3 linked regions of the Saccharomyces cerevisiae S288C genome follow. The gene in region 2 interacts genetically with the main gene of each other region. Each region holds a gene or a part of one and is shown on either strand. Other genes may lie near its edges.

Evidence for each region. A genetic interaction does not mean that the proteins touch.
Region 1: mutations in SDH9 (region 2) and ROF1 together harm fitness more than expected from each alone (negative genetic interaction), as found in Saccharomyces cerevisiae (one large-scale study listed by BioGRID).
Region 3: mutations in SDH9 (region 2) and ARE2 together harm fitness more than expected from each alone (negative genetic interaction), as found in Saccharomyces cerevisiae (2 studies listed by BioGRID).

The regions. Positions count from the first base shown.
Region 1 is NC_001140.6:452,509-458,452, reverse strand, and holds ROF1 (Rof1p), read right to left. Parts: upstream 1,863-5,944; coding exon 501-1,862; downstream 1-500. Other genes in the region: FMO1 (N,N-dimethylaniline monooxygenase), read right to left, coding at 2,926-4,224; YHR175W-A (uncharacterized protein), read right to left, coding at 4,746-4,895; CTR2 (low-affinity Cu transporter), read right to left, coding at 5,012-5,581; phosphopyruvate hydratase ENO2, read right to left, coding at 5,813-5,944.
Region 2 is NC_001142.9:351,881-360,170, reverse strand, and holds SDH9 (succinate dehydrogenase SDH9), read right to left. Parts: upstream 4,148-8,290; coding exon 2,243-4,147; downstream 1-2,242. Other genes in the region: YJL043W (uncharacterized protein), read right to left, coding at 1-41; GTPase-activating protein GYP6, read left to right, coding at 495-1,871; AIM22 (putative lipoate--protein ligase), read right to left, coding at 6,556-7,785; cullin RTT101, read left to right, coding at 8,063-8,290. UniProt on the Saccharomyces cerevisiae protein: Probable minor catalytic subunit of succinate dehydrogenase (SDH) that is involved in complex II of the mitochondrial electron transport chain and is responsible for transferring electrons from succinate to ubiquinone (coenzyme Q).
Region 3 is NC_001146.8:661,346-667,767, forward strand, and holds ARE2 (sterol acyltransferase), read left to right. Parts: upstream 1-3,993; coding exon 3,994-5,922; downstream 5,923-6,422. Other genes in the region: acetyl-CoA carboxylase ACC1, read right to left, coding at 1-29; protein transporter TIM23, read left to right, coding at 1,568-2,236; RCF2 (Rcf2p), read left to right, coding at 2,925-3,599; ATP23 (putative metalloprotease), read right to left, coding at 6,065-6,422. UniProt on the Saccharomyces cerevisiae protein: Sterol O-acyltransferase that catalyzes the formation of stery esters.

The DNA.
Region 1 (5,944 bases), on a different chromosome or scaffold from region 2:
AATTGGATGAGGACAAAATGTGTTGTTGCAACTTTAACTACGTGAGAAAGGTGAAAGTAAGGTATTAGAAGAGAGGACACAAGAGTTATAATATCAGTAACTTTCGAAGTGGGTATCTCACATGGTTTTGATTGGGGTTCTCGATTGTTTTGCCCCCCTGGTTTATTCATTTTTCATAACAATGCCAAGAACCGTTTTTAGGTTTGATTTCTCAGTTCCCTTGCGTTTCTTTCTCTGGAAATTTCATGATAGAATTACAAATTTGGATATGCTTGTTAGTATATGATACAATGATGGAGGTGAAAATCAGATGGTCCTATAAATAGTTTTTCGAAATCCATCGATGGTAGGGAACAACAAGAACAAGCACCCTCCTGTTTTTTTAAAACCCTTTCTGAAAAACACACAATTGGCTGCCCTTTCTATGTAGTGAAGAATCCTTTTGGAATATGAGCGGTACTTTAGGTGAACCTTTCAGCAATTGAAAGGATGCTGATCTTCTACTTTGAGTATTGGTGGGATTTAGGATTGCTTGATGTGTTGTTTTTACTAAATGTTGGTGGATGTTGCATGCTGTCTGGCGCATGAATCATTTGGTATTGTGTTTGAGCCGGGGGATTCATACGAGGAGCTGGCAAAATATAAATGCCATCTAGGTTCTTGTTGGTTGTGGAGGTGGTTATGTTTACATTTGGAGGATTAATAGAATCTGTGACTGGTTTTGGTTGTCGGTAATCATGCACAAGTATATGGTGTACTGGGGGCATCATTGTTGGGGCGATAGGCGCCTTAGAGTGATTGCATTCAGGACCCGACCTCGAAGAGTATGGATCGATATTTTGGTATGGTATTGGGCTCAATGTATTGGAGGAGTATATCACTGAAGGCGACACGCCACGCCGTTCATAAGGTGCTGCAGTAGGTTGTTGCGGGAGAGTATTGTATGTATTGCAGAAAATCATAGGTTGTGAGACCGTACGTCTCAATCCAGGCTGATAGTTAGGATTGTAAACACCAATTGGTTGTGGCTGGTGCTGCATATACGGGAGAGGTAATTTATTCTGTTCATCTATGGGTAAGAGATATTGTTGCTGTTGTCGGTGCTGCTGTTGGTGCATTTCTCGAGGAGCGTTATTGAAGGTGGTTAAAGGTAACTGAACTGCGGTCCTAACTGGAATATTTCCAGGATGGTTGTTATAATTGCTCAAGAGATCACAATAGCTCGGAGAAGATGATAAAGACCTGCGCGTTTTATAATTATGAGCTTTGGTTCTGCCTCTCTCATTATTTTTAGACGGGTTAGATCTGCCATTTCCTACAGCAACTTTTTGTAAAGCATCTAATAGTTTCTGTGAAGGTCGAAATTTATGGAAGAAAGGATTTTCTGAAGGTCTCCTCAAACTTCCTTGATGAATATCCTTTTCCGTATAGTACGCAATAAGATGAAATGTTTCCAGCTTAGTGCTGTCGGTGGGATCCATATTGAATTTTAGAGAAAATGTTTTTTTCAGTAGTCCAGTATAAAAATACTTCCTATGAGCCCTCTCGAAGATATTATACTCAGGTACATTATGCAGCGGTAGATCGTGCGTGGAACCCAGCCTATTATACTCTCTATATACGAGAAATTTGCCTGAAATTCTTGAAGGAGACCAAGAAAAACCATCTGTCCATCTTTTGATGCCGGATTTCTCTTCGTTGAAAACAAAAATGTTTCCGGGGTTGACTAATTCAACCTTTTCTGCATCATATGGCCTCCGTTCGATGCATCTCAAATTTCCATTGAATACGCCCTGGAAAACAAGGGCTAGATCTTGCTCGTCGTCGATGTACCCATAACAGGTAGGGCTGATATCCATCATTCTTACGCTTACTCGTCGATCTCCTTTTCCTATCTATTGTTTGATTAATTATCTTAATTCGTGGTTCCCTTTTTTCTCGCTTTATTTGTTTGTTTTGTTGAAGAAGGGCTTACAAGAATGTACGTATTAAATAATAATTCATACAAATAAACAGGGAATGATACATAGTAGTTCTCCCGCAGCAGCTACGTATGAATTACCCGCCTACCCGGTACTATAAAGAAAGAATAAGTGGGCGTCGATTATGAAGATTTACTAACTGCAATTATCATTTTTTTGATTTTCCTCAGTCCCTTAGGTGCGTTTTTGTGTTAATGCCTATTTTTTTTTTCTAGGCTTTCTTCTTCACTTCCTCTTTCCTCTTGAATTTTGAGGAATATACGACCGAGAAAAAGACAGACTACTTAAAAAGTTGCCAGAGTGATTAAAGTTCCGGGAACAAGGCTAAAATACGTTTACAACATATTCTTCCTTTTTTTTCCACATAAAAAGGTTAATAGTCATAGTCATATGTTAGCGTGATTTCAACTTAAAATTAGAGATTATTAGATAATTTTTTTTTAAATGACGGCCAAGAAAGTGAAAGTCTAAAAGGAACGTTTATCGCTTAATTTCTCTCTGCCTCAGATTCATACGTTGTTAAGATCTTTAAAAGGATGGCCTTTGCAGGATACTGAGGTTTATGCTGGCGCGCCTGTGCGGATTTTCCAGATTCAAAAAGAAAGTTTTCTTTTTTTTTTACATGGGAACTGCGTAGCCGCGAAGCACTGCAGGCCTTTCAGAGCAATTTTTGGCGCTGCCTTTTAAAAACTTACATTAAGGTTCGCTATTGCCGAAACGGAAGAGGCGGAAATTTAAGTATTCGTTAATTTTACGGTGGCGGTACGGTATATTCTGCGTAAGCAATCTGCGGACGGCCGGATTATTAATCAATGTTTGAAAAAAAAAGATAGCAGAAGTGAAGATTTCTTATTTTAACAGCGATAAGGTATATACATGAGGGAAACGAAATATTAAGCGGCACAATATGTGTTTTTTCTATACAAGTACATTCCTTTTTACGTTAAGTATGTGGCGCCGGAAGGAAGTATGGTGCTTTTTTTTTCTTTAGGGCTTGTGCGTGTTCCGCTAGAAGCACATTTCTTTCTTCTTTGTCTGTATAACTACTGTTTCTTAGATCGATCAGTCTATCATCCCATACAACTGGTTCGAAATGACCGACCCTACGTGGAATGCTATTCAGTAGTTCCTGTAGTTCTGCATAGTATTCCAGGTCCTTTCCCTTTGGGAAGTTGTGCGTTCCGCAGGCATTAGAGTCGAAAGTTGTAGTTATCGGTAAGCTTTTACAGAATACTTCGACCATAATAGCCGCCTGTAGTTCCGACAACGGGAACGGGATGACCAACTGCGGGGTCAAGATAAAGGACAGCGTAGGATCTTTTACATAGATCATGTGCTCCCACAAATTGTGCAGATTGACAGACGAGTGCTTGTCGCCAGTAACACCCTCACCTAGCACTTCCAGTCTAACGGAGGGCTCTATAAATGGAAAGCTGTAATAATAGCCTGTGGCGAAAATAATGTAGTCTATATTCTGAAGTACTCTTCCATCAGATAAAGTAACTGAACGATTTTTCCAATCGGCACTGTCTATTGTTTGGACAGTCTCGATTAACTTGGCCTTCAGTTGATTGCTCGCAGGCTCTTTTATACTATTATATACTTTCTTTGCAACGGTAGTTAGTTGGTTGGCAATATCTTGGCCGGAACTGCCGTTTCCCACCACAATAACGACTTTTTCACGGGCAAACTCGCAGTTTTTGAAATCCTTAGAATGAAAGGCGCCCTTATTGTCGAACCATAGATCGAGACCTGCGATATTAGTTGGTAGTTTAGGGACACTGTAGTGACCAGACGCAACAATAACGAAGTCAAAATCCGATTTAGTAGTCCTTAGTTCGTCTTTAGATGTTATCTCCCATTGAGAGTTCTTCTTCTTTAAGTAGGTAACTTCGGTGCTGAAATGGATGCTGATAGCATCTTTGTTGGCAATGAACGTTTTGTAATAGGCTTTCAAGTATTCCCAAATGTTTCTTCGAGACGGATATAAAGGGACGTTTTCCTCGAAGGGAAAGCCGCTAAACTGCATTAACTTCTTTGATATATTGGTTTCCAAATGGTCATACATGACCCTCCCATCACTTTTTTGTTCTGGATAATGCCAGACACCGCCAATATCGTAATCCTTTACAAATATTTCTATTTCAAAATTTGGAAGACTTTGCGAGAAAACTCTTGCAGCTGCCAACCCTCCTGGCCCCCCACCTATGATTGCCAATCTTTTTTTGTCATTCACTGTCATGCCTAGTTACTTCTTGTTATTTCTCGCTTCCTGCTTGAATTTTCTGTATTATTGTATTTTCGACTTGTATAAAAACAGTGGCCCATTTAAATACAGTCCCAAATAACGACTGCGTTTTTGCAGTGGCATTTATCCTTGATATGAGGCTACAGGATTATCTTGCATAATGGCTTTTCTCGGCAAAAAGATGTCTGGCGCTTCCTATGTAAAGGTAATATCATGTGATTAAGAGTGAAAAGAGGAATTTAAAAGGTAGAAAAGGGTTCATGGAATCTTTCATAAAGCAGAACATTAATACTTGCCGCGTTGAAATGAGGTGCGATTTCGTGTTGTGGACGGGACATTAAATTCATCACTTATATAATTAAATATAACGTTATAGTAGATCGTCTCAAAACGGTATAACAACCCGCGCCCACCCTTAAATAGTATTACTTTTGTTCAAGATTAGCTCGAATGGTCGCTGGCAAACTGTTGAAGAACTAGATCGTTTCATGATTAACATCTTGGCGACGCAGAAGTTAATGATATAGAAATAGTGGACTATTTTGATTACTGAGGCTGTAGCCAATAAACGATAACATAAAGGGGGGGATATATAAACTTGTGTCAAAGACTAGTAACGTACGAGTGCTAAATATTATACATGTAATGTTAACGTAGTTTATCATTATACTCAGTGGGAACAAATAAAGGGAAGGGTATGAATGAGGAAGAAATACGAAAAATCCCGGATAAAAACAAAATAGATACAAATAGTATCAAATTTGTAATATTTGTCACCATCTTAATGGCAGGCGAGGGAGCTGTCATCTATCTCAGGACTATACGAAGTACACCAGCTGTAATTACCCCATATTGCCCCACACACGACAGCTAACATTAACCAACCATTATAAGTCATGAATACAAGCATGAGCATGAATGAGAATCCCACTTGCAAACCATATAGAATACTATTGGACACTTTGTCGGCTTGGTTGATCTTGGTCAGAGATCTATTTGGTAACAATACTCTCTGGGATAATTGTCTCTTATGGACACAGTACTTTAAGTACTCATAGAGGTAGGCTAGACCAAAAATTGCTAAACAACTTAAAATCAGTCCAGGCAGGGTCTTGATATGCCACCATTCAAAGACGACACACGTATTCTTGTATGACCACGAAAATAGCATATTCATCGAACAGGTATCATCTCCATCTCCCATATGCATATCACTGTGGTCGTGGCCCGCATTTCCTTCCATCTTGTGATTCATGCTATCCATCTTTTTTGAGTATCCAATTAACGAAGACGTTACCAGCTGATTGAAGGTTCTCAAAGTGACTGTACTCCATGTTTTCTTATCATCCATGTAGTTATTTTTCAAACTGCAAATTCAAGAAAAAGCCACGCGTGTGCACCTTTTTTTTCCCCTTCCAGTGCATTATGCAATAGACAGCACGAGTCTTTGAAAAAGTAACTTATAAAACTGTATCAATTTTTAAACCTAAATAGATTCATAAACTATTCGTTAATATAAAGTGTTCTAAACTATGATGAAAAAATAAGCAGAAAAGACTAATAATTCTTAGTTAAAAGCACTTTACAACTTGTCACCGTGGTGGAAGTTTTCACCGGCGTAGACAGCCTTGTCACCCAATTCTTCTTCGATTCTCAACAATTGGTTCAACTTAGCCAATCTTTCGGATCTAGCTGGAGCACCAGTCTTGATTTG
Region 2 (8,290 bases):
ATATCCGTGTAACGCTCCAGTCCGGAATAATCAACAAACATGGCTTGCGGTTTTCCTGAACACTCACCTTTTAGTATTCTTTTTTTCTTTTTTTTCTATTTTTTTTTCGACATAATTATTATTTTTTCTTGAATTATTTACTGACGCAAAGTTCTGACCACAGAAAAATTCCACGTCTTATTTTGCCCATGCCAGCCGTAGAATACGCACACGTGTACGCATGCTCCAAGTGTTATTGTAACTGGATGGTGCGCTGGTTTAGGCCTGTAAGCGGTCGTAAAGGAAAACCGGATATTATGTTACCCGCTTCTCCTACGGCATTACTAGTTCCTTTTTTTTTTTTTTTCAATTTTTCCATTGAGTTTTCCATAATCGGTACAGCAGCGTTTAATTTCATTACCTTTTTCAGAACAATGGGGGAGAGTTGTCAAGAGAATTGGCATACATAGAGAGGGTTAGCTGTCGTGCGTTTGTATTTTTTCGCTTATGCAACCATGAAGGATGTCTTACAATGGGCGATTGACCACTACGAGACAAGAGACCAACTGGTGCAGAAGGGAATTTGGAAAGGTGAACTCTACCATGACTCTATCTTTAAAGAAAATAGTAGAGGCTGGCTCTGGAAAGCTTTGCTTCTGTGTGATGAAAACAACAACTGCTTGTTAACTGATAACTTTAAAGGTTTGGACCTTAACCAGTTCGGCTTGGTGCCAGTGCCTATGCTGGCAGATGGCGACAACTATGACGAAAATCATAATGCAAATGTACCTAAAAGGGTCTTGCACTCGAACGTTTCCTCCTCAGTGGGAATCAGGAGGCTGACTCCCGTCGAGGCTGTTGAAAAACATCCCTTGTCTGATGACAATGACAAAACTAAAGGTTCTTTGTCCAAGGGAAGTGATGAAAAGCCGTTGACACTGAGGGAAACTCTGGAAATTATAGATTTGGACCTCTCAAGGATAATGCTTGACGATATATTTCAGGAACCCAAGGTTCATGCTCAAATGAGACAACTTTTGTACAATTACCTGCTTATACATCAAAGCGAACACCTACAGTATAAACAAGGGTTCCACGAAATATTAAGCGTCATTTATCTGCAATTATATCACGGTACAGATCTCGATAATACCGATTTGCAAAACGTTCTGATTATCTTTAACAAGCTAATGAACCAAATCGAACCGATTTTTTATAACGAAGAAAATTTGATTAACTGGGATAAGAGAGTATTCACGAAAATCTTTAGGATTTGTTTGCCAGACTTGTTTTCAAAGGTTTTTTACCAACCACCAAAAACGGGCAGCGGGAAGAAAAAAAACGTAGACCATCTGATTCACTCCAACCTAATCTGGCTCATCCGATGGACAAGGTTGTTATTTTTAAGAGAATTACCCTTAAAATATGTGCTAATCGTTTGGGACCACGTCCTGACGTTCAATTATCCCTTGGATATTTTCATTGCATGCACTATCATCACCCTTTTGTTATCCATTTACGATGAGCTTCACGAACTAGTGAGCCAAGGTGACTATGAACATACGAATAATAACGATGAATTTGTTGAATTGATTTTGCATTTCAAGAAAATTTTTGAAAAGGAAGATGCCAGTAAAGATGATGAAAAGTTTTTAGACCTGTGTAAGGTCACTGGAAATTTATGTGAATTGTGGTATGGAAAAAATTACGACGATATGAGATTGATTTGCGACACTTTTATAAATGCGAAGTTCGGCATAAAGACTAGTGATGTTTTAAGTATGGAAACAGCAAAGTTGACTATTGATCCTAATAGACAATCACTCGAAAACAAACTGAGGGAGAGGGTAAGGCAAACAATTTTGAAGAACAAAAAGAAAATAAGCCAATAAGTTTTTCTTGTCAATTACTCGTTGTTATTTGTTTGAAATCCCAGCCTGCACACCCGCACGACAAAATCAAAAAAAAAAAAAAAAAAACCCAGCTACCACCAACAAACAGATAGCCCACATGTCATATTTCCTAATGAGCTGGTTTCCCTCTGATATTTTTGCATATTGCAGCTCGACGTATATTGTACTTCAATGTCTTGCATAAAATTATATAGCATAATAGATAAGGTGTAAGTTGACAGTAAACGAGTACTATTGACCAAGAATCAATGAGAGAGATAGAGAGAAAAATAAGAAAAAAGGGAAAGATCATTTTTGCCAGATCAATAAATAAGTTTGCCCTCCAAAATAAATAAATAAATAAATAAGAATTAATAGGATCTGACAGCTGGAGGGACTGGGGCGCATTCATTCTCATCTAAAGTATGTGCGATTACATTCCTGTACTTGATTTTTACAGGTGTTGATGTCCCCTTTTGCCATGATAATGTGTGCTTTCTCCAATTCACATCATCTCTTTTTGCATAGTCCTCTCTCGCATGAGCACCACGAGACTCCTTTCTTTTGGAAGCAGAAACAGCCGTTTGTGTGGCACAAGTAAGTAAATTTTGCAATTCCAGAGTTTCTACGAGATCAGAATTCCAGATCATTGACTTATCAGAAACGTGCACATCCTCAAATGTCTTGTCCACTTCAGTAATATTTCTAACACCTTCATCTAGAGTGTCTTGCGTCCTGAAAACAGAAACATCTTTTTGCATTGTCCTTTGCATGTTCAACCTGATTTGAGAGGTTTTCAGTGAGCCGCGAGCATTTCTTACTTTATCCAAATTAGCAATTGACTCGTGCCCGATGTTTGAAGCCAATGGCTTATGAGGCAAGCCAGGCTGTAATGTGTCAGCAATGGTATTTGCAACGGCGCGACCGAAAACGACTAAATCCAGTAGTGAGTTAGCGCCTAATCTGTTCGCTCCATGAACCGATACGCAAGCAGCTTCACCACACGCCATCAATCCTGGGATGACCTTATCCTCTCCAGTTTCCTCGTCAATGGTCAATGCTTCACCAGTCCATTTTGTGGGAATGCCTCCCATATTATAATGGACAGTTGGCAAGACAGGAATTGGCTCCTGGGTGACATCGACACCCGCAAAGACAGCAGCTGTTTCAGATATTCCCGGTAGCCTTTCCTTTAGTACCTCAGGTGGTAGATGGCTTAATTGTAAAAGGATATGATCCTTGTTTTTCCCGACACCTCTGCCAGCCCTGATTTCCATGGTGATTGCTCTGGAAACAACATCCCTGCTTGCCAAGTCCTTGGCAGTAGGAGCATAGCGTTCCATAAACCTTTCTCCTTCAGAATTCAATAAAAATCCACCCTCACCACGGGCACCTTCAGTGATTAGGCAGCCAGACCCATAAATTCCTGACGGATGAAATTGAACAAATTCTAAATCCTCTAGTGGAAATCCAGCGCGAGAAACCATAGCATTACCGTCACCTGTACAAGTGTGAGCAGAAGTGCAAGAGAAGTAAGCTCTACCGTATCCGCCTGTCGCGATGACGGTCTTATGTGCTCTGAATCTGTGAATTGTACCGTCCTCCTGATTATAGGCAATGACACCCACAACCTCGCCATTATGGGTCAACAAATCCATTGCAAAGTATTCAATAAAGAAGTGTGTATTATTTTTCAGCGCTTGTCCATACAATGTATGAAGCATTGCGTGACCTGTTCTATCTGCCACCGCACAAGTCCTATAGGCCTGTCCACCTTTACCAAAATCTTTGGATTGTCCCCCAAATGCTCTCTGGTAAATCCTTCCATCTTCAGTCCTCGAAAAGGGCATACCGTAATGTTCTAGTTCAATGACAGACTTAGGTGCTTCTCTTGTCATGTAATGGATTGCATCTTGGTCTCCGAGCCAGTCAGAACCCTTGACAGTGTCGTACATGTGCGATTTCCAATCATCTGGATGCATATTTCCCAGCGCAGCATTAATTCCACCCTGAGCAGCCACAGTATGTGACCTTGTTGGAAACAACTTGGATAAACAAGCAGTCTTGTATCCAGCTTCAGCCAAACCGAAAGCTGCTCTTAAACCTGCACCGCCAGCGCCTACCACCACACAATCATATTCATGGTCGATAATATGATATTTGGCCGGCGGTTTCGATTCAGATTTCACTTCCCCAATTTGACGAACAACAGAGGAAGAAGTGAAAGTTCTTTGCAAGATGTATGATTTTGTTATTCCTTTTTTCAAAGATAACATAATTTATTAGCTCACGTGTATACATGTATATAGATATACGTATTTAGGCTCCTTCTTTTCTTATTTTAGCAGATAATTATTTAGAAAGTATATATAAGAACTTAGCTCTGACTAGAGTGAAAGAAATTTGCCGAAGTGTCGGTTGGATTGCCTTTTTTGCCACCTTGTGGAACCTTACTGTTCCGTTAAAGGGAAGACCCTTATATTCTAAAGGGAGCCACATAAGTCCGGAGAAGAGGAGCGCGACCTGAGAAAAGCGACTTGAGCGGCTAACGGGTTAATAAAGCTTACGGAAAATTAATGCATTGCAGCTTCCTATGAGTTTTGTCATTCTTATAGAAGCCGAAAATTCAAATAGATGATTTCTTGCGTGGAACCATAGGTATTCACACTATCTCTTCACAAAACTTGTTATATTGCAAGTATCTGTTGCCTCACATACGTACTGTATCAATCTGGATCTTAAAGTAGTAACTACAACAGCTTCAAAAAAAATCTCCGCGACGGGGAATTGAACCCCGATCTGGCACGCGACAAGCGCCCATTCTGACCATTAAACTATCACGGAAGAAACAAAGCACTCACGATGGGGGTCGAACCCATAATCTTCTGATTAGAAGTCAGACGCGTTGCCATTACGCCACGCGAGCTACTGTTTGTTGGAAGATTGGGATTAAAGGTAAACTATGCTTTGATTTCACCAATCTCGCAAACCAACGTTGAAAATCTAAACTCTCCTACTACATTTGCGTTTGGTAGCAGAATGTTGAGGAATAATAACCAATTACCATTTAGTTGACTAGTATTTATATGTCAACACTGTTGGAATAAAAATCAACTATCGTCTATGTTGGAATAAAAATCAACTATCATCTACTAACTAGTATTTACGTTGCTAGTATATTATCATATACGGTGTTAGAAGATGACGCAAATGATGAGAAATAGTCATCTAAATTAGTGGAAGCTGAAACGCAAGGATTGATAATGTAATAGGATCAATGAATATTAACATATAAAATGATGATAATAATATTTATAGAATTGTATAGAATTGCAGATTCCCTTTTATGGATTCCTAAATCCTCGAGGAGAACTTCTAGTATATCTACATACCTAATATTATTGCCTTATTAAAAATGGAATCCCAACAATTACATCAAAATCCACATTCTCTTCAGTCTATCAACTAGTAGTCATACTACCAATATATTATCATATATGGTGCTAAGATGATGGCATAAGTTATGAGAAGCTGTCATCGAAGTTAGAGGAAGCTGAAGTGCAAGGATTGATAATGTAATAGGATAATGAAACATATAAAACGGAATAAGGAATAAAACGGAATATTAGTATATAGAAATATAGGTTCCATTATGAGGATTCCTAGATCCTCGAGGAGAACTTCTAGTATATTCTGTATACCTAATATTATAGCCTTTATCAACAATGGAATCCCAACAATTATCTCAAAATTCACCAATTTTCATCTTTATCAAAAATGGAATTCCAACAATTATTAAGTTATAACCAAAATTAAAAATTCACATATTTCTCACAAACAAAATCTTTACAATCACTTATTGATCAGATATAATCCTGCAAAATGGAAAGAAATTATTAATTATGAAGAAGGGTACGGCGGCCAAGAGAAATTTCATCCACATTCTATTTAGAGCACATTAAAAAAATCTCCCGGGGGCGAGTCGAACGCCCGATCTCAAGATTTCGTAGTGGTAAATTACAGTCTTGCGCCTTAAACCAACTTGGCTACCGAGAGTGATAAATGATTAATAACCAAAAAATTTTGTTTCATCATACAAATTCAAAGAAAGTATTGTTTCATAAGAATGTTGCTGAAAGGACTTTGAGTGAATTGTGAACAGTTTGATAATTATTGGTCCAAATGGCGACATTGAAGACACAGTGTAAATTATTCAATGATGATTTGGCCTGGTTTTTACAAATGATTTTATCGACGTCAAGAGGATACAGTTCAAGAACGGTTAAGCGACATTGACAAAAAATGCTCAAAAACCACTGGTGCAACTTTACTGGTGGCAGTTTTTTGAAGTGAAAAGGAACTTTATTCTGGAGCGGAAGAAATTCAATAAATGTCACCACAATACCGATGCTATTCTTAGATGATCGATAAAATTAAGTACTATCTGTCGGTTTCTCAAATAACAGTATAAATATTTAGTTCACATTTAGAGACGGCTGAATCGTAACAAAATATAGTTCTTATAGATCTAAAGTACGAACACTCCTAATGTATCGCTTATATTGAAGTTTGCTGTGAATCTAGGACGCGTCTGCTGAAATATGCTGAATCAGTTTCCGGTGAAAGACTTTAATTTTGATATTTACCTACGTTATTTACAAGTGAATTGAAATATTCATCAACGTTATGTGTAACTGTCAATATTCTCCAAAAATCCTTTGAATTCCAAGCCGATTAAATCATTTCTATCACAATCATAAATCATGCCCTTTTCGACTTTAATTGTTAAGCCTTTATCTTTAATCTTCACTGAAAATTTAGGCCCCGAGAAATATTTCCATTGTTCGCTCTGTAAGGTGTTCATAGCATCTTTAATCTCATCGTTTATAGATTTAAACTCGTCACAGTAATATATAGGTATTTCGCCGTCAACTTTGAATGTTTTCTGAAAACGCTCGGATACCACTGCAATGAACTGATTAGGAGTAATTATACCAACATTTTTGATTTTTGATTTTACACTATGAACTCCACTTGACTCCCATTCCATATTGTTCGGTAGTGAGGGTTCTAATAAGCCGCTAAACTGTTCTAAATCCGCATTAAGCAACATCGTTGCATGATGGTATGCTTTGCCACCGGCAATTTTATAAGCACTGCCACTAATTTTAAACCCGTCCTGAATAATATCTCCTCTCTCATTCAAATCTAGTCTTAGTTCGGGATTCAATGAATTTAACCACTTAATTATCATTTTGTTGAAAAACTTTGTTTCGAATTTCTCCCTTGATGTTAAATATGAATAATTAACATTGCCCAAATCATGCAGTACAGTGCCACCTCCAGAAAATCTTCTAAGTAGTTCGAAATTCTTACTCTTCAGCTTAGCAAGATCTACTTCCTGCCACAGATTTTGGTTTTTGCCTATAACGGCGCACCTATCATTGATGTAAAATAACAGTCTGCAATTATCGGGACCTCTTTTGGCTCTTGGTGTATTCTTGAAAACATAGTTTTCAAGGGCCAAATTATAATAAGGACTGGTGGATAAACTTTGTATAACAAATCTGCCCTTTGCCTTTACTATATTTTCCAATTGTGAAGCAGACATGATCTGTTTGGCATATCCAATATTATAGAAATTGTACAAGTCTTTATTAAAAGCACTGATATCTTCTTCCATAGAGCTGGCCTTCGTCGTATCATAATCAGATTTACCTTCATCCTGCAAAATTGAAACGTTATCATTTGAAGGTGTAAACATGTTTTCATACATTGAGTTTATATCATGATATTTATCGTCTGCGTCTTTTGCCCATCGTGTAAGTGTGTGAAATAAAGTGGTGCAATGTATGAGGTTTCGCTGTCCCACATATCGAGGGGAGAGTGCCCAATTACTTAGCATCATAGACATAATGTAAACATCAAAGAAAAGTCTAGTGTTTTCTTCTTTTGTATTCATCAAAAATTCTACATACGTGAGCTCGGAGATTTTTGGATGTTCAATATTCCTGATTAAGTATGACGAAGCGGAACGCATAGCTATCCTTTGCGTAATGATGAATATGAACAATGCGAATGAAGATCATCGATATCTTTGCACTAAAAGACTACTTTGAAGGAATCCTCAAGATATTAAACCCACCAATCTTTTTTACTGGTATAAATTCTCGTACGGGTTCACAGGAACAATGATAAATGAGAGCGTTTCCAAGAGAGAAGGATTCCACGAGTCTATAAGCAGAGAGACGAGTGCAAGCAACGCTTTAGGACTATACAATAAATTTAACGATGAGCGAAATCCCAGGTATCGAACGATGATTGCTGAGCTGCACGAGTTTTTTCACCTTACTTTAGCTGAAACTATAACTGAAACTGACGTGAAAGAATTGGAGTGTAATAAAGAAAAGGCCGCTAAA
Region 3 (6,422 bases), on a different chromosome or scaffold from region 2:
GAAGACTCGAATAAGCTTTCTTCGCTCATGGTAGAAACTTGATTTTTTCTAATTTTCTGCGCTGTTTCGGGAACGGAAAAAAATTAAGCTAGAAGACGAATCGGTTATTATACTATTATATTTGTATAGTATAGTAGCGTGTCGTATCGTATCGTGTCGTATCGTATCGTATCGTTAAAAGAAAATACACGAATAAATAATAATATGTGGAGAAGAAAAAGGGAAGTTTCTTGTCTCTTGCTCTGAATCTGAATTCCAATTCAAGTTCAAATTGTTCTCTAGTTTATTGTCCAAAAATAAGGATGAAGCGGGAGGGAAGGGCAGAGGGAAAAGTTCGTATAGTAGAATGAATAAACTTTTATAAACACATGCACCGATCACTCACAGAGGATAAAAAAATGGCACAACAAATATATATATATAGATGCAAATGGCGATTGCAAATTAGGGAATTGGCTTTGTTGTTTTTTATCTTCAGGTAAACTGTACGAAAGGGATAAAAAGAGTAGAATAAGGAAAGGAAAATTGAAGAGAGCAGAACAATTGTAGAACCGATAACAATTGTGACAGTGATTGTGCTAGGCTATACTGTGCCAGAATACGACTGGGAGTGCTGTTCTTCTTATATATCTTGGCGCTGATTGAGCGTATAGCCTAGTTCACCAAGCAGTAGAGAGAGTGGCAATGAGCGGTTGAATTTCGACTGCGACTTGTTGGCACAACGCGCGCGCGGCCGGGCCATGTGAAGATTTTAACGGGCGCAACGATTCGGTGGGCAGTGGAAATTGTTGGGCGTTGTTCAACAAGATGAAGCATTCCCCTTTGGATAACGTCAACGCATATCGGGCCAACCTACAGGCAATGAGCGAAAGCGACTGAAGCCGAGAGATGTGCCCGGAGTTTGTTGTTCTTGTTCTTGTTCTTGTTCTTGTTCTTCTTGACGGATGATACTAGTCGCAGTCGTGGTGACTCTGGAGGGCGTAACGGCCGTGATGCGGCCTGAGCTCACTGTGACGTCGATGCATGCGCGGGTTCGTTGCGTTCAGGCCTGACGGGCGATTCCCCACCAAGTATAAGTGTCATGATATACGCGGCACCTGAGCAGCACATTAGGTCCCAATTCAACCCAACATATATAATGGTTCTGTATGGGTATTTTAAGTGTGCAAACAAAATGTGAGTTACCCGGCTGTTTGCTAGTCGCTGCGTACGAACTGGCTTGCTAAAGCTGGGTAAAAATAATTTAATCGCAAAAGGAAGAAAAGGAAATCGACGATTCATTGAAAAAAAGAGAAAATACTGAAAAAAAAAAGACACCGACAAAAAAAAGAGAGAAAGGAACCTTTACGTAGAGCAAAAGGGAAACATTTGTTGCGTTTAATTAATAGAAATAATAGGTTATTGCATTCGCCCTCCATTGCAGAAAAAAAAAAAAAAAAGACCATTTTCCTCTTCTACTCTCTTTGCCTGTACATACTACACGTTATAGCGTTAACAAAAGCAGATAGAAAAAAAAAAAATAACCAAGATAATATAGGTATACTTGTTTAACAGATCACACACAATCATGTCGTGGCTTTTTGGAGATAAGACACCTACCGATGATGCGAATGCTGCCGTGGGCGGCCAAGATACAACCAAGCCTAAGGAACTATCGTTGAAGCAGAGTTTAGGTTTCGAGCCAAACATCAATAACATAATATCAGGTCCTGGTGGAATGCATGTCGACACCGCTAGGCTGCATCCTTTGGCTGGTCTAGACAAGGGTGTGGAGTATTTAGATCTGGAAGAAGAACAACTATCCTCGTTAGAAGGCTCACAGGGTCTGATCCCTTCCCGTGGGTGGACCGATGACCTATGTTACGGTACCGGTGCCGTCTACCTGCTGGGACTTGGTATCGGAGGGTTTTCTGGTATGATGCAGGGTCTGCAGAATATTCCGCCCAATAGTCCCGGAAAATTGCAATTGAACACCGTCCTGAATCACATTACTAAGAGAGGTCCCTTCTTAGGTAATAATGCGGGGATTCTCGCGTTGAGCTACAATATCATCAATTCTACAATAGATGCACTAAGAGGCAAACATGACACCGCGGGCTCCATTGGCGCTGGGGCCCTCACGGGCGCTTTGTTCAAGTCTTCAAAAGGTTTGAAACCCATGGGTTATTCCTCGGCAATGGTGGCCGCTGCGTGCGCCGTCTGGTGTAGTGTCAAGAAAAGACTACTTGAAAAATGAGCAACACAAGAACCTACTCTCTCTCTCTCTTTCTCTCTCTCTCTCCCTCTTCGCTTTTCCCCCATGCACTGATGGCGCTTGTATATAGCATTTGAAAAATAATAGTACGTAACGCAGAAAACAAACCAATGAAAGTAGAAACCCGGAGAAAAGATCTAAAAAAACAAAAAAAAAAGATGGAAAGAGCGCATGTATGTGTAGATATGTACATATATACAACTACTTGTATGTTATTTGCCTTTTGTACTGTTAAGCTATTGTTTTCGATGGCCAATTAAAGTAAAACAAACCGCTCACTCTCGGGTATTTCCCGAAACTGTCAGAGCCGTCCCGGCCCACCGATTCGCCCGGCAAGACCTGCTTGGAAGCAGCACAAAGCCCTGCGGCCTCTGTACACCTCACGCTAAATAGCTGCTAACGATCAACACCTGACCGAGATAACAGCAGCAAAGAACCCGCAAAAAACTGCGCCGTCTAGGCCTCAACCCTTGCTTCCTACAACCAAACAATGGTAAAATATACAAAAAAAAGAAAAGAATGCTCTTTCTTATTTCCCTTTTAACCTAACCATCTTTTGTTTTTTGTCGTTTAACCTGGAAAGAATGTTCTATTATATAAACACTCTTTACTACGTCTTTAGCTTGAAAAAACTCTTGACAAGTGCACCGATACTCACCAACATCGCACAATGAAGATTTTAACCCAAGACGAAATTGAAGCTCATCGCTCACATACGCTAAAAGGTGGTATTGAAGGTGCCCTTGCCGGATTTGCAATCTCTGCTATAATTTTCAAAGTCCTACCAAGAAGGTACCCAAAATTCAAGCCTTCGACTCTAACATGGTCCATAAAAACCGCCCTTTGGATCACCCCTCCCACGGTCTTGACTGCTATATGTGCGGAGGAGGCCTCGAACAATTTCGACGCTACAATGTACGGATCCGGTTCCTCCTCGGAAGACGCACTAGATGAGCACAGAAGATGGAAGAGTTTGAGTACAAAGGACAAGTTTGTCGAAGGTCTATCTAATAACAAGTATAAGATCATCACCGGTGCCTGGGCCGCTTCGCTGTATGGGTCGTGGGTAATCGTGAACAAAGACCCCATCATGACCAAAGCTCAGAAGATCGTGCAGGCAAGAATGTACGCTCAATTCATTACCGTCGGGCTGCTGCTGGCCTCCGTTGGTTTGAGCATGTACGAGAATAAGTTACATCCTAACAAACAAAAGGTCAACGAAATGCGCCGCTGGGAAAACGCACTGAGGGTCGCCGAAGAGGAAGAGAGACTCGAGAAAGAGGGAAGAAGGACCGGCTACGTTTCTAACGAAGAAAGAATAAACTCCAAGATCTTCAAGTCGTAAACCTCGTCGGTTTATCTGCCTCAACTTTATTTCCGCTCCTCGTCTTTTATAAAATTCCTTTCATCAATACATCTATATATTCGAATATATAGATAAACCAATACAAAAACATACTGAAATTTTTTGAAAACAACTAAAACTATTCATTGCAGTTACACGTGAATGCTAAACTTTATATCGCTCTTGTCGGTCCCGCGGAGTTAACATTTAACGGCTTCTCGCGCAATAACCGGAAAAATTCCAACAGTTTCTTTGTAATATTATTAAGCCTTCTTTTTTCCCGGAATCTATAAGAGGGGACGAAAATTAGCCGCTATTAATTCTGGTATTGCCACCTAGACAAGAAGTAAACAGACACATTACGTTAGCAAAAGCAACAATAACAAACACAACCATGGACAAGAAGAAGGATCTACTGGAGAACGAACAATTTCTCCGCATCCAAAAGCTCAACGCTGCCGATGCGGGCAAAAGACAATCTATAACAGTGGACGACGAGGGCGAACTATATGGGTTAGACACCTCCGGCAACTCACCAGCCAATGAACACACAGCTACCACAATTACACAGAATCACAGCGTGGTGGCCTCAAACGGAGACGTCGCATTCATCCCAGGAACTGCTACCGAAGGCAATACAGAGATTGTAACTGAAGAAGTGATTGAGACCGATGATAACATGTTCAAGACCCATGTGAAGACTTTAAGCTCCAAAGAGAAGGCACGGTATAGGCAAGGGTCCTCTAACTTTATATCGTATTTCGATGATATGTCATTTGAACACAGGCCCAGTATATTAGATGGGTCAGTTAACGAGCCCTTCAAGACCAAATTCGTGGGACCTACTTTAGAAAAGGAGATCAGAAGAAGGGAGAAAGAGCTAATGGCCATGCGCAAAAATTTACACCACCGCAAGTCCTCCCCAGATGCTGTCGACTCAGTAGGGAAAAATGATGGCGCCGCCCCAACTACTGTTCCAACTGCCGCCACCTCAGAAACGGTGGTCACCGTTGAAACCACCATAATTTCATCCAATTTCTCCGGGTTGTACGTGGCGTTTTGGATGGCTATTGCATTTGGTGCTGTCAAGGCTTTAATAGACTATTATTACCAGCATAATGGTAGCTTCAAGGATTCGGAGATCTTGAAATTTATGACTACGAATTTGTTCACTGTGGCATCCGTAGATCTTTTGATGTATTTGAGCACTTATTTTGTCGTTGGAATACAATACTTATGCAAGTGGGGGGTCTTGAAATGGGGCACTACCGGCTGGATCTTCACCTCAATTTACGAGTTTTTGTTTGTTATCTTCTACATGTATTTAACAGAAAACATCCTAAAACTACACTGGCTGTCCAAGATCTTCCTTTTTTTGCATTCTTTAGTTTTATTGATGAAAATGCATTCTTTCGCCTTCTACAATGGCTATCTATGGGGTATAAAGGAAGAACTACAATTTTCCAAAAGCGCTCTTGCCAAATACAAGGATTCTATAAATGATCCAAAAGTTATTGGTGCTCTTGAGAAAAGCTGTGAGTTTTGTAGTTTTGAATTGAGCTCTCAGTCTTTAAGCGACCAAACTCAAAAATTCCCCAACAATATCAGTGCAAAAAGCTTTTTTTGGTTCACCATGTTTCCAACCCTAATTTACCAAATTGAATATCCAAGAACTAAGGAAATCAGATGGAGCTACGTATTAGAAAAGATCTGCGCCATCTTCGGTACCATTTTCTTAATGATGATAGATGCTCAAATCTTGATGTATCCTGTAGCAATGAGAGCATTGGCTGTGCGCAATTCTGAATGGACTGGTATATTGGATAGATTATTGAAATGGGTTGGATTGCTCGTTGATATCGTCCCAGGGTTTATCGTGATGTACATCTTGGACTTCTATTTGATTTGGGATGCCATTTTGAACTGTGTGGCTGAATTGACAAGATTTGGCGACAGATATTTCTACGGTGACTGGTGGAATTGTGTTAGTTGGGCAGACTTCAGTAGAATTTGGAACATCCCAGTGCATAAGTTTTTGTTAAGACATGTTTACCATAGTTCAATGAGTTCATTCAAATTGAACAAGAGTCAAGCAACTTTGATGACCTTTTTCTTAAGTTCCGTCGTTCATGAATTAGCAATGTACGTTATCTTCAAGAAATTGAGGTTTTACTTGTTCTTCTTCCAAATGCTGCAAATGCCATTAGTAGCTTTAACAAATACTAAATTCATGAGGAACAGAACCATAATCGGAAATGTTATTTTCTGGCTCGGTATCTGCATGGGACCAAGTGTCATGTGTACGTTGTACTTGACATTCTAAGGCATCCTGCAACTGTTCTGTGGAGCTATTAAATCTTTATAGTAAATTTTTTTTTACTTTTTTTTTTTTTTTTTTTTTTTTTTATTATTTACAAGCGTCTATATATTTTCTATTATAGAATATTGTCATTTATTACATTGGTTCATCTGTAAATCTCATCAAACGGTCTCGTATCGGCGAAGCAACTGTCCCAAACTTCATCTACAATTTTTGCTGCATGTTCTTTGCTTTGGCAGTTGGGGTTCCCCGAAACACTAATTATTGCCCTCCTTCTAACACAATCTTGGTGTCCCCTTGCCACATGGAATCCTGTCCTAAACCCTCTTCTCTTGAACTCTTCCCAAAACCTGCATTCCCCACTTAACGAAGAGGCTCTGATTTCAGAACATGCATGATGCTTCAGATTTAACCAATCTATTTGCCATTTTAGATCATCGAAATAATGAATTAATTCATGCGAAAGCGTATCCTCTAAATGCCACTTATCACGTAACCTGTTC